Arabidopsis thaliana: one gene and its partner. The protein of the gene in region 2 interacts with the protein of the main gene of each other region in a biochemical or structural test. Each region holds a gene or a part of one and is shown on either strand. Other genes may lie near its edges.

Region 1 (4,858 bases), on a different chromosome or scaffold from region 2:
TTCAAATTTTTTGAAGTTTGAATATGAATTAATCCTATAATTTATTCGCGTATGAAAATATACTTAACAGATTTTAAGGATATGAAAATACTTTTTACTTCATATGCATATGTATATACTTGTTTGAACTTTAAAGTCAATGGAGAAAATACACTAGAGGTTACAGGTGCTGCCGCTGCAATGCAACATGTCGTTTATATAGTAACTGATAGAAACTATCAACTAAAGTCTCATCACTAAATTTTCCTTAAAACTTATTACATTACTCACTACTACACAATGCATTAAAAATAACATATTTGAAAGTATATTGTGTATGCTAATTTTTGATGTGTACTTAAATCTCATTATTGGTATATAAGTAAAGAACTTTAAAAACTAAAGATAGGCAGTAAAACAAATCATACATAAAATTTACGTTGAAATTAGTTTGAATCAAATTTGCGATCTACAGTTTTCGTGTAAAACTAATCAAAGAAAAACGATTCAAAATAACCAATATATTTTGAAATGATGATTAAAACTTGGCGACAAATGAAATAAAAATAAACAATGGGAAAAAGTTTTGTGTTGTTGACCAATTAGAGACCAAAAGACTGGTTTTTGTAGTAAAAAGCAGATTACGTACAAAACAATTTAGCGGGTGGGTATATGGAATTTAGGTTCAGAATATTTTCTTCCTTTTAGGATTAGGGTTTGTCTTGCAATTTAGGATGTTATTGGACATCTGTTCAATTATGGATAGGTGGGAATAGGGTTTGAGTCTCACATATAAATCCTTGAATTTTCCACTACCATGTACATCTATATATGAAACTTCATAAAGTCCGATTTAACAAGTTTGCAGTATGGCGAGATCTGTTTTGGCATCTTAGAAACAAAGCTTAACACTAATACAAAAATAAATATTCGTCAAGAACAAGAGTAGATGACAAACAAGCTAAAGGAGGAGGAAAACAACTAAGATAACTAGCAAAAGATAGCATTTCATACTACAAGTATAAGGTAAAAATAATAAAGGCACAAAAATACCCGGAGAAGGCATTTCTTTTGGGTCTCTTCAGGTGTCTCACTCTTAAACTTCTTGATCATCTTCTCATTCTCAAAGGAGGTGTCGCTCTAGTCTTTACCTCATACATTCTTTTGTTCATTTTCTCTTTCTTATTTTTTTTTTTTTTTCAACTTTCGTTTAATGTGGAGATTTAATATGTAATTCTTATCTAAAAGATAATTAACTTTTTGCTTATGTTTTGCTTATTTTTAGTCTTTTTTTTTGTTAATATAGTTTCTTTGTTTTTGTTTATTTATTTTTAATAATTGTAGACAAAAATAATTATTAGGTTTTTAAATTAGTTTGATGTTTTTAAGCAATATAGTTGTTGGCGGCGGAGGAATACATGTACTGAAGATAAACACAGTTAAACCTTTTTAGTAACCGAACCGACCCATTTGGATTGAGATAAAATACAATCGAATAGTTTGAGTCTTAGATTGGGTTTGGTTTGGGTCGGTTTGAGTTCGGTTGGGTTGGGTCGGTTCGGTTAAAATGCCCACCCCTACTTTCCCATCATCCCCTTGACAAATTAATAACCAAATTAGTCATAATCCAATCTTTCAACATGAAAACCGGAATATGAGGGTCAAAGCGGACCCATTAAGAGAAAAGGTGGGTCAGTTGACACACCTTAAATCTACAAATAAAGTTTAATGCATGAAATTTGTTAAAGAGATAATAGCTAAGTTGGTTTATCATGTGTCATTGACACCCCCATTATCCAAGTTCAATCCTTCCCTATGTACTTTTTCGTAAAAAATTTCTTTTTATATATTAAACGAAAAAACTATTGACTCAGGTAAAAATCTTTCCTGGGTCCGCCGGTCAACGAGGAGGAAACACGACGGAATGAGAGAGAGAAGTTGGTGGCCTAATTTTTGTAGGAGAAAAAACACACAGAAAGAAAAGTAAAATGTTGACAAAATGGGGTTGGGAAATTGAGAATAAAAATTCAAAGAAGGCATGCATATTGCAATAATAATGTGCGATTTGTCAAACAAGTGGGGCTGTGAGAGAGAGCGCGTGGTCAGCACGAAGAAGAAGCAGGTACAGAGTTTTATCACCAGCTATCTATCTTTGGTTTGTTCTTAAATAATAATCAAACGCCATCTCTCTCTATTCTCTATCTATCTTCTCCACGTTACTACCACCTAACCTCTCATCCACCTTTTCTCCTTTAAGCATATTTCATTTCATCTCCGAAAGGAATTGTATCGTTCCTCACACACGCCTCTCATCTCTTATCCGTAAGTTTTGTTTCTCTTTTCTCTATTGATGTACCCTTTTGCCCATATTTGTGCTTGTGAACTCGCATTTGATCGTTTATGCTAGATCTGGTTTGGGTTTAGTCGTTTAGATGCTCGTCAAGCTCCCTTTGAATCACTAGTGCTCTTAGACTCTTATATTTACTGATTTGGAATTTTGTAATTCAAAAGTCCGAGTCTTTTGATGAACCCCCGTGCCGACCACACGATTGCTTTCAATTTGGGCTTCTTCTTAATTTTGGTGAACTATTGAGGATTTTTGCAAGTTTCTGTGTGAATCCTAGAGTAGAATGACTCAAAAATGATTTCTTTTGATTCAATTATATGCGATTGTTAATGTCTTTGAGGTTCTATGATCTGGAATTAGATTTTGGTATTATCTTAGTATATCAAAGCTTAGATGATGTTTCTTTAGCATGTAACTACTATTGTCCATATAAATTGCATAACTCATTTAACTTTCGAGCATTCTCTGCGTCTCGATTACTTATATGGTTCCTTTGTTTGTTTTTGTTCAGATTCTTGTCCTTTTTTCAGCTCAACAAGAATGGATAATTGTACTGGAGAAAATCCCATGGCTTCTCAGTTGAACATTCTCCGATGCCCGTTCTTGAGGAACATCAATGAGCCCACTAACCTCTCTTTCTCTTCATCCTTGCCTTTTCCCATCCCTGTAAGTAACCGTCTGTTGGTTCACTCCATATTGACATTTCTTATAGATTCTGATCTTGTCTCATCATATATATAGGCAAGAGCTGGGAAAGGACCTATATTTGAAGATGGTCCCAATTTTGATACGGCGTTTAGGCTTTTCCATGGCCAAGATGGAGTTGTCCCTCTCTCTGACACCGCTCGAACTGAAGCCCAGAAGCCTGTGCCTGTATTCCATCCACTTGCTGCTAAGGCGGCCACTATTAGTCTCTCATCCTTTGGATCTGGAGGGCCTTTTGGATTTGATGCATTTTCTGACATGTTTAAAAATCAAAAGAAGAAGTCAGATTCATCCAAAAATAAGGTAAAGGTTTTATGAGTTTCTTGCTCAACATTTATCTTTTAAAACTGATGTGCATAGGTAAAGAAATGTGTCTAAGGAAATAGTTAAGCTTCTAAGATTGCTTAAGTAGTATGCAATGTGTTGGCTTATGAGATAGAAAATCATGATATTTCTTTTCTCTTAGAGCACCGCTTAATTGTTGTTTCTCTTTCAGGGAGGAAACCACGAAGCCATGGGCGACGAATGGCTTAAAACAGGAAACTGCCCAATAGCAAAATCATATCGAGCTGTAAGTGGTGTGGCACCACTTGTGGCAAAGATCCTGCAACCCCCTCCAGGCATGAAATTTAAATGCCCTCAAGCAATAGTCACAGCTCGAGCAGCGATATCAAAAACACCTTTCGCCAAGAACCTCCGTCCACAACCTTTACCAGCTAAAGTACTAGTGATCGGGATGCTGGGCATGGCGTTAAATGTGCCTTTAGGGGTCTGGAGAGAGCACACTGAAAAGTTTTCGGCATCTTGGTTTATAGCTCTTCACGCAGCGGTTCCATTCATAGGAATACTGAGAAAGTCAGTGTTGATGCCTAAAACAGCTATGGTATTCACCATAGCAGCATCAGTTTTGGGACAGGTGATTGGGTCAAGAGCAGAGAGGCGGAGACTCAAGTCTGTAGCTGAGAAGAAGTTGACATTGGAGGTACCAAATCCGTCTTCTGTTGAAGCAGATCAGATGCAATTTGCCGGAGTTTCATCAGATGGAAGATGCGGTGATAAAGTGGTGATGAAGTGGAATCCCATGATGCTTGATGTTGCAAGCCCTGTGTCTTCCGGAGCAGCTACTGTTGTCTGCTAAAAGGATTTTGTAATTCTCTTCGAGGATTTATATATATAATTGTTTTTCTTGTATTTTTTTCGGCTGATTGTATTTAAAAAGTTTCTTAATGTTTGAGAAAAACAAGAATAAAGCCATTTTTTAAACTGTTAATTGTATTTTAATGTAAAAGACTTGTTTGATTGAATAAAAGGAAAGAGAAGTTGGAAATTTGGTGTTTATGCATCTCATAGGCAAGTTTTCAAATATGAACAATGTTAAATGAGTCGTTCAATAGTGCTTATGATATCGTGGTTGCAAAACATCAGTTATAGAGTGGTTGATGGTGTAGTGATTAAACATTGCATTTCGTGATCACTTGTTTGGGTCCACTCTTGCATCCTTGCTAAACCTACTCCAAAATTGGTAAACCTACTCTGAAGTTTGCAGAACTAGTCTAAAAGATTTTCTTAAAAGGCAGGCCACTAGATAGAAGAGAAATCACTTACAAGAGTTTCTTAAACTTTTCTTTTTAAAGATAAGTGATTATGGAACATTAAACTTAAGTTTACTCTCATAACCTCTATTATCATCAAATCTCCTTCTTAAATTTTTTTTTTTTTTTTTTGAAACAAATGGATTTTATTAAAAATACAAAAAAAATTGTATATTTGGATTACGTCAACTCTTACAATTTTGCTAGTCTCATAGAAAGATGTCATACAATGCTT
Region 2 (6,501 bases):
TGGCAAAAACAGAGAAACCTCGAGTCCATCATCGACTCAAATCTGAGGGGAAACTACAGTCCTGAATCGTTGGAGAAGTATGGGGAGATAGCAGAGAAGTGCTTAGCGGATGAAGGGAAGAACAGGCCAATGATGGGAGAAGTGTTATGGAGCTTGGAGTATGTTTTGCAGATTCATGAAGCTTGGCTTCGCAAACAGAATGGAGAAAACTCGTTTTCGAGCAGCCAAGCGGTAGAAGAAGCACCAGAGAGCTTTACTCTTCCAGCTTGTTCCAATCAAGATTCCTCAGAAACTGAGCAGAGCCAAACAGGATCTGCTCTTCACAATTCGGCTTAGAGGAAGCAATTGGATTGGCCAGTCCCAAAATAATTCTTTTGTTCTTTTGTTATAATTGATTGTGATCTATCCAGAAGCTCTTTTGTAATAGAGCTTGTAATATACACTGCAAATATAATTTCCTTAAGGTATTCGTTTAATCATTCTTTCCATTTGTTTCCTTCGCTAATAAGTGCACCAGAAGTTGTTTGCTGGGTTTCTTCAACTCATTCTCACGCACAATTACTCAAGGTTCTTTCCAAATAGTAGAGAAAAACTTATTGAAAGAGTTCTAAACGATACAGCAGGCTTAATGCTCTGTCTAAAGGCAAAGACATGTCTTAGCTAACTGCAAAATGTAAAGAGTTACAAATACTTGTTTGGTAAAGCCACTCAAAAACGGAAAATACAGCTTGGTTCCTTTCTCGGAAATGGATAGAGCTTCAAGATCCAGAGAGGACACCGCGGATAGGTGGACAGACGGATGGATCTCATTTCTTCCCACCACCGGAAACATTGAACTTGAAGAAAATGATATCTCCATCCTGAACAACATATGTTTTACCCTCCTGTCTGTATTTTCCTGCGGCCTGCATTAGTTGAAGGGATTATAAATTAGACCAAGTGTCATCGCCATGAACATTATAAATATAATCATGCCTCTTCAACGAGGATATCTTGCACAGTGGAGAGCTTCCTTAACATTTTCATGTCTGTTTTTAGAGGCTACTTACTCCACCGAGACCTTAAGAGATTGTAGAAGGAAAAGAAGTTATAGACAAATACCTTGACTGCAGGTTCATTGCCAAGTTCCTTGAGATCCTCGAATTTCATGACCTGTGACATCAACAACAACATTGGAATAAATCACATTGAATTTCAAAACAGAAAAATATTTGATTAGATATGGTTTGCATTAGGATTCTGCTTTGATATCTACAGGCCTGCATCGATACTAGGAAATCAACACCAAGATGAATATAAGAATATGCAAGCAAGCATTTGTTTTTGTCAGTGAAAACATAAGAAAGATTATATAAACTCTATAACAGAACAAATCATCAAAATCTGGAGGGGAAAGGCTTTACGCATGTAAATTTTAGGTAGGAATAAACTAGTGAATTGACCAAGATTCAAGAGAAATGAGAAAATGGTACCTCAGCACAAATAAATCCTCTCTCAAAATCAGTATGAATGGCCCCTGCAGCTTGAGGAGCCTTTGACTGCCGTCTTATTTGCCAGCACTTCACCTGCAAATCAAAGTATCATTGATGGATGTATTTTATAAACCATCAAATTCCAGTAACAATGCACTACTTGACACATAACACTGATCATGCACTACCAAATAGCTCATTACAGAACAATTATGCTTAGAAGAATTTCACAGAGAACTAGAGACTAAAGCGTGTAGTGAAGCCAAGTAAAGTGGGACTGTTAATACCTCATCAGGCCCTGCTGTAAAGAAGTATATGAGGTTAATTGCTGAAAATCCAGTTTTGATGATCCTCGGAAGAGCACTGTCAAAGCAGCAATGGCCATAAGATTCAATTTAACAGATTCATAAAGAAAAATCATCTTCAGGAGCAACTATTCATTCGCAAGGTGCTGTTCTTTTATTCCTAACCTTTGCAGTTTGTTCTCCTCACAATACTTTGCTGCTTCATCTGGGGCCATATCAGCGAGACTCCTTTCAAACACACCACTGAAAGGAATCATAGTATCACCACCGTGTTCTTGAACCCTACATAATGATGAAACAGATATTTTTAGTTTAGGAGAAGTATAATAAGGTAAGTAAATGTGTAAGCACGTAGCCATATTAGAAACTTTTGCAACAACCAAGGGGCAAAATGTTTTACTTATTATTCAACATAGTTTGTGAAAGGATATATATTAGTACCAGGCATGAATCTTTGGCAAGAACTTGTTTTTCTTCCTCTGATAGTCTCTCTCATTCAGGTTAATCTGTAATTTAAATTTCAGAGTAACCAGTGATCACAAAAAGTCCAACCAAGATGCCTTAATAGTTCTTACACTGAGATGAAACACATAGTTGAAACAAACATGAAAGCATAGAGATCAGAAATAGCTAAGGAACACACTATGGTTAAATTTGGGGGCAAATAGTGTCACAAAAATAGACAGTATGACCTACATTTTGCAAACTGACCCGAAAAAAATTGAGGGAACAAAATTGTCGACTATAGATATGAAAGAAGCAAATGCATTTATCTTGATAGAAACAATGGTAACAGAAAGAGATGAACATTCAAGACTACTCACCAAGTAAACAACGGGCTTTGCAGAAAGCAATTGGAAAGTGTTCAAAATCTCGATATCAGCTGTTTTCCAGTCCCCAAAACGGACATCCTTACCATCTTCTAGCCAAGCTTTTACCTAAACCAGAGAGGTACAGTCATTTTTTCGGCCAATTAATAATTAATGAGCAATAACATTTGCAGAACAAGACTGCATGGTTGTCAAATTATAGCATACCTTTTGCAAGAGCTCAAGTTCTATTTTCAGCTGCTTGTCATTGCTCCTCTTCATGCTCTTCTCGACATCATCAATCTTCTTTCCAACAAATTCAATATCCTAAAGTTGCACCAAAGAATTCAGTTTGAAACCAAAACAACAATGGATGAAATGAAGATCCAACTAATACAAAAAACAGACTACTGTATTAATATACACAGAAAGGATTTCACGAGTTTGGAGATATAGCAGTCAAATATCTGTTTAGAGATTTGATTCACCTTTAGCCGCAACTCTTCAGTAATGGTCTCCAAATCTCTAACAGGATCCACGATATCGTCGACATGGATAATATCAGCATCTTCAAAAGCACCTGCATATGTTCAATCGAAAAGTCACTAACCACTATATAACTGGCAAGATATCTTACTATCAGCAACTATTAAAGAAACATCCCCGTTGTTCAAGAACAGATATGCTTGGAGAGGAAAACATAAACTAACTATCGCAATGGCCCTATAGGTATCAAATGGGAAGAAAAATATATAAAGGTTTTTAACCTGTCTCTCATTGAAAAGCCTGCTCAAGTAGAAATTCAAGACAGCACAAGTAGCAGTACAGTCTAAATTATTCATCAAATCACGCATCACACTAAAACAAAGCTGGCACTAGGAGAAAAAGCGAGAGGGAAAAACCATACGTAAAACATGGAAAATTCCATCAACTGCACGAATATGGGACAAGAAGTTGTTTCCAAGACCCTGTCCTTCATGAGCTCCTCTAACAAGCCCAGCAATGTCATGAATTTCCAAGAAAGCTGGAATCTGAGGCATCAAAACAGACAGAAGTCAGCCCATTCATAAAGTAATTCAGATAGTAGTAATCTCTTCCTTAACAGCAAGTCATGAAATAAAGTTACAAACTTACCTCACTCTTAGGCTTGTAAGTTTGGCAAAGCCAATCGAACCTCTCATCGGGGATATTCACACGTGCCTCATTAGGCTCAATGGTACAAAAGGGGAAATTCTCAGCTGGAATTGAAAGCTTTGTAAGAGTGTTGAAAAGAGTAGATTTTCCAACATTTGGTAACCCAACCTGCGATGCCACAAACAATTCCCATAGTGAATAACATCAATACTTCTCCATATCATCATATCAACCATGAACAATCAACCTTAATCACTGTATCAAAGAAGCAGTTTCTTAAATATGGATTAAACATCTAAAAGAGTACAGTGACAAACACAACGAAACAAACAATATCATCATGCATCACTGATGAGTTAATAGATCTCTCCCGGCAAAACTCAGAAGAAGAAAAAAAAAAAAAACTTTTATCGAGGAAAGTATTGCGATGAGCAAATCTACCATTCACCATTCGAAATTAATCAACTTGGATTCTAAAAGAGAGATGAAGAGAAAAATTACAATTCCGATCTTGAGGTGAGAAGAGAAACGGCCAAGAATAGGCCTCTCTACGGGACCTGCATCTTTAGCTTTGGCTTTCGGAGGCATCTTTCTCAAAGTCTCGAGCTTGAAAGTGAAGCGAAGCTCTAAGATATTCTAGGGTTTTTGCTGATTAACAAAGCCTAGCAGAAGAAGCTACAAGACGCCGACGCCGAGGTTAAAGAGAGATTGCTCAGCTGGTTTACGGACCGGTTTAAATCGGAGGGTCAATTCCCGGTTTACTTTTAACCATTTGCGGGACATTTACCAAAATACAAAGAGCTATTTTTAACCAATTTTGTGGACAAAGTAAACCCAATATTGAACACTAAACCGAGAAATCAATCATTCAGCATTTCAACTTAACCAAATTAAACCGAAACTCAAATTAGGTAATCATAAACCAACTGACTAAATTTTACTTCATAGATGTTCTTCAAAATTTTGCTACAAAACCACATGCGATCAGATAATACCACAGACTCGCACAAAACTCATGTCAACTTCTTTTTTTTAGAGTTTACGCACTAGCTAAGAGATTGTAATAAGAAACCTACATTGCAAAATTGCATTCCCTCTCTCTATGACTATTAGATTAAGAAGGATTCAGGAGGACTAGTGGATGGTCTGATTCTTGAAGGCATCTTCAAGAGCCTCTCTGTTTCTCGCATGAAAGAGTGTTTCGGAGTTGTAGACATCGTGTTCATCTCACTATCAAGTTCAACGTCATCGTCAGGTTCCTCCGCACTGTCTGCATCTCCATTCACTATGACCTCATCACAAAGCTCTTCGTCACCATCTTCTCCATAAGTCGTTTTCACCATTGACCAGAAGTTGAAGTTCGGGGAGATGTAGCTTCAAGAATTGACAAGAAAACACGTGTGAGAAAGAGAGTTCAAGCCTATCCAATGCAAATACTTTGATTCATCACTTGTTTTATCATATTAAAATAATTTTCAATGTCATTTCAAGACTGTAATTAAGATGTATGCAGTAGAATTTGTATCAAATATGCCCAGGTCGGGTAAATTCATCCAGTGAGTCAAGAACCTTGTGTAAGATTCTCACATTGATTTGTCCTTACTTTGGAAGAGAAAAAATAATCAAGAGTAAAGATAGCAAACCTGCTAGACATTTTCAACAAGCACGGGTCAAACGGGAAGAATGTGTCAAGCCTTTCAAAGCCACCAAAAGCACGAGAGAGCTCAGACTCGTGTAGGTCATCGAAAATGAAGGATTCTGAGACAATGAACAGACCACCAGCTTTGGCTTGTTTAAGGAACTCGGAAACTACAGATGGAAGACACACCTGTTCACACAAAATGAATGGTGCAAGCATAATGCATTTGATACTTGGAGTGAAGACTACTTAAAATAACAGTTGAGCTATGAGAAGAAAATGATTAGTGTAAGTCACCCACCAGTAGTGGGTTTAGTTTGTGAGATAAAATTGACTCCAATGATCTAAACTGCGATTGAAAGCGAGGAATCTCCACTATGGATCTCATTCGGAAGCATAGCACATACAAGATTGCCTACAGTCATAGAAAAGTAACAACTTTAAGCGATACATGACATAATAGCATATGATCCCAAACGCCAATAAGCTTCTGGTAAGGGTGTGAACATTAACAATGATTGATAACTAGAGACGTCAATGATTTCACAGAAGAGTTCTTAAGGAATCAAAAGCCATAAGATGGTCTTAAACTTGGACTATACCTGACATCCAGAATAGAACACTTGATGTGCTTCTGGCTTCACATCATCATTGCATGTTCCGCAATATTCCGCACACTCGTCCACCAATCTAGGATTTCAGCAAAAGAGAAACTATGTTACAACAAAGCGAGACTTAAATCAGATCAAACAATTACATTTTCCATTTTTTAGCAATACGTACCTTTTCAACATGCTAGCCACAAAAGAAGCAGGCAAAAACTTTCCACGAGACAAATAGCTAGCTAGATAAGCCACTGCACTCATCCTGTTAAGTATAAAGAGAAAACAAAAGAATACACAAGTGGTGATTAGAACAATATTAGCTTCATATCATGCAGAGAAATCTTTACCAAGAAGGACAAGATTAAACTCGCCTAGTAAGTCGACATGTGTTGCTGGAGAGATATATGTCCAACAGCTTACTGGCAAATCTCACACCACAATTTTCAGGATCTAGTGAGCATGCATAGAACATCAGAAACTGCAGATGAAAGTAGAGTGAGTCTAAGCCAAGACATCACATGCCGATAATGAACTAAT

The links. Proteins that work in one complex are often made in the same cells at the same time.
Region 1: the proteins of AT1G30580 (region 2) and AT4G25030 form a complex in vitro, tested with the Arabidopsis thaliana proteins (one study listed by BioGRID).

The regions. Positions count from the first base shown.
Region 1 is NC_003075.7:12,862,470-12,867,327, forward strand, and holds AT4G25030 (Serine/Threonine-kinase), read left to right. Parts: upstream 1-1,982; 5' UTR 1,983-2,301; exon of another isoform or gene 2,302-2,560; intron 2,561-2,837; 5' UTR 2,838-2,866; coding exon 2,867-2,992; intron 2,993-3,067; coding exon 3,068-3,334; intron 3,335-3,527; coding exon 3,528-4,169; 3' UTR 4,170-4,358; downstream 4,359-4,858.
Region 2 is NC_003070.9:10,831,147-10,837,647, forward strand, and holds AT1G30580 (GTP binding protein), read right to left. Parts: upstream 4,490-6,501; 5' UTR 4,309-4,489; coding exon 4,222-4,308; intron 3,889-4,221; coding exon 3,721-3,888; intron 3,618-3,720; coding exon 3,494-3,617; intron 3,167-3,493; coding exon 3,075-3,166; intron 2,914-3,074; coding exon 2,815-2,913; intron 2,716-2,814; coding exon 2,602-2,715; intron 2,284-2,601; coding exon 2,219-2,283; intron 2,060-2,218; coding exon 1,943-2,059; intron 1,836-1,942; coding exon 1,760-1,835; intron 1,566-1,759; coding exon 1,473-1,565; intron 1,153-1,472; coding exon 1,102-1,152; intron 906-1,101; coding exon 807-905; 3' UTR 527-806; downstream 1-526. Other genes in the region: HERK2 (hercules receptor kinase 2), read left to right, coding at 1-336; AT1G30590 (RNA polymerase I specific transcription initiation factor RRN3 protein), read right to left, coding at 4,830-5,094, 5,364-5,548, 5,661-5,774, 5,962-6,049, 6,143-6,226, 6,336-6,442. UniProt on the Arabidopsis thaliana protein: Hydrolyzes ATP, and can also hydrolyze GTP with lower efficiency. Has lower affinity for GTP. Exhibits GTPase activity.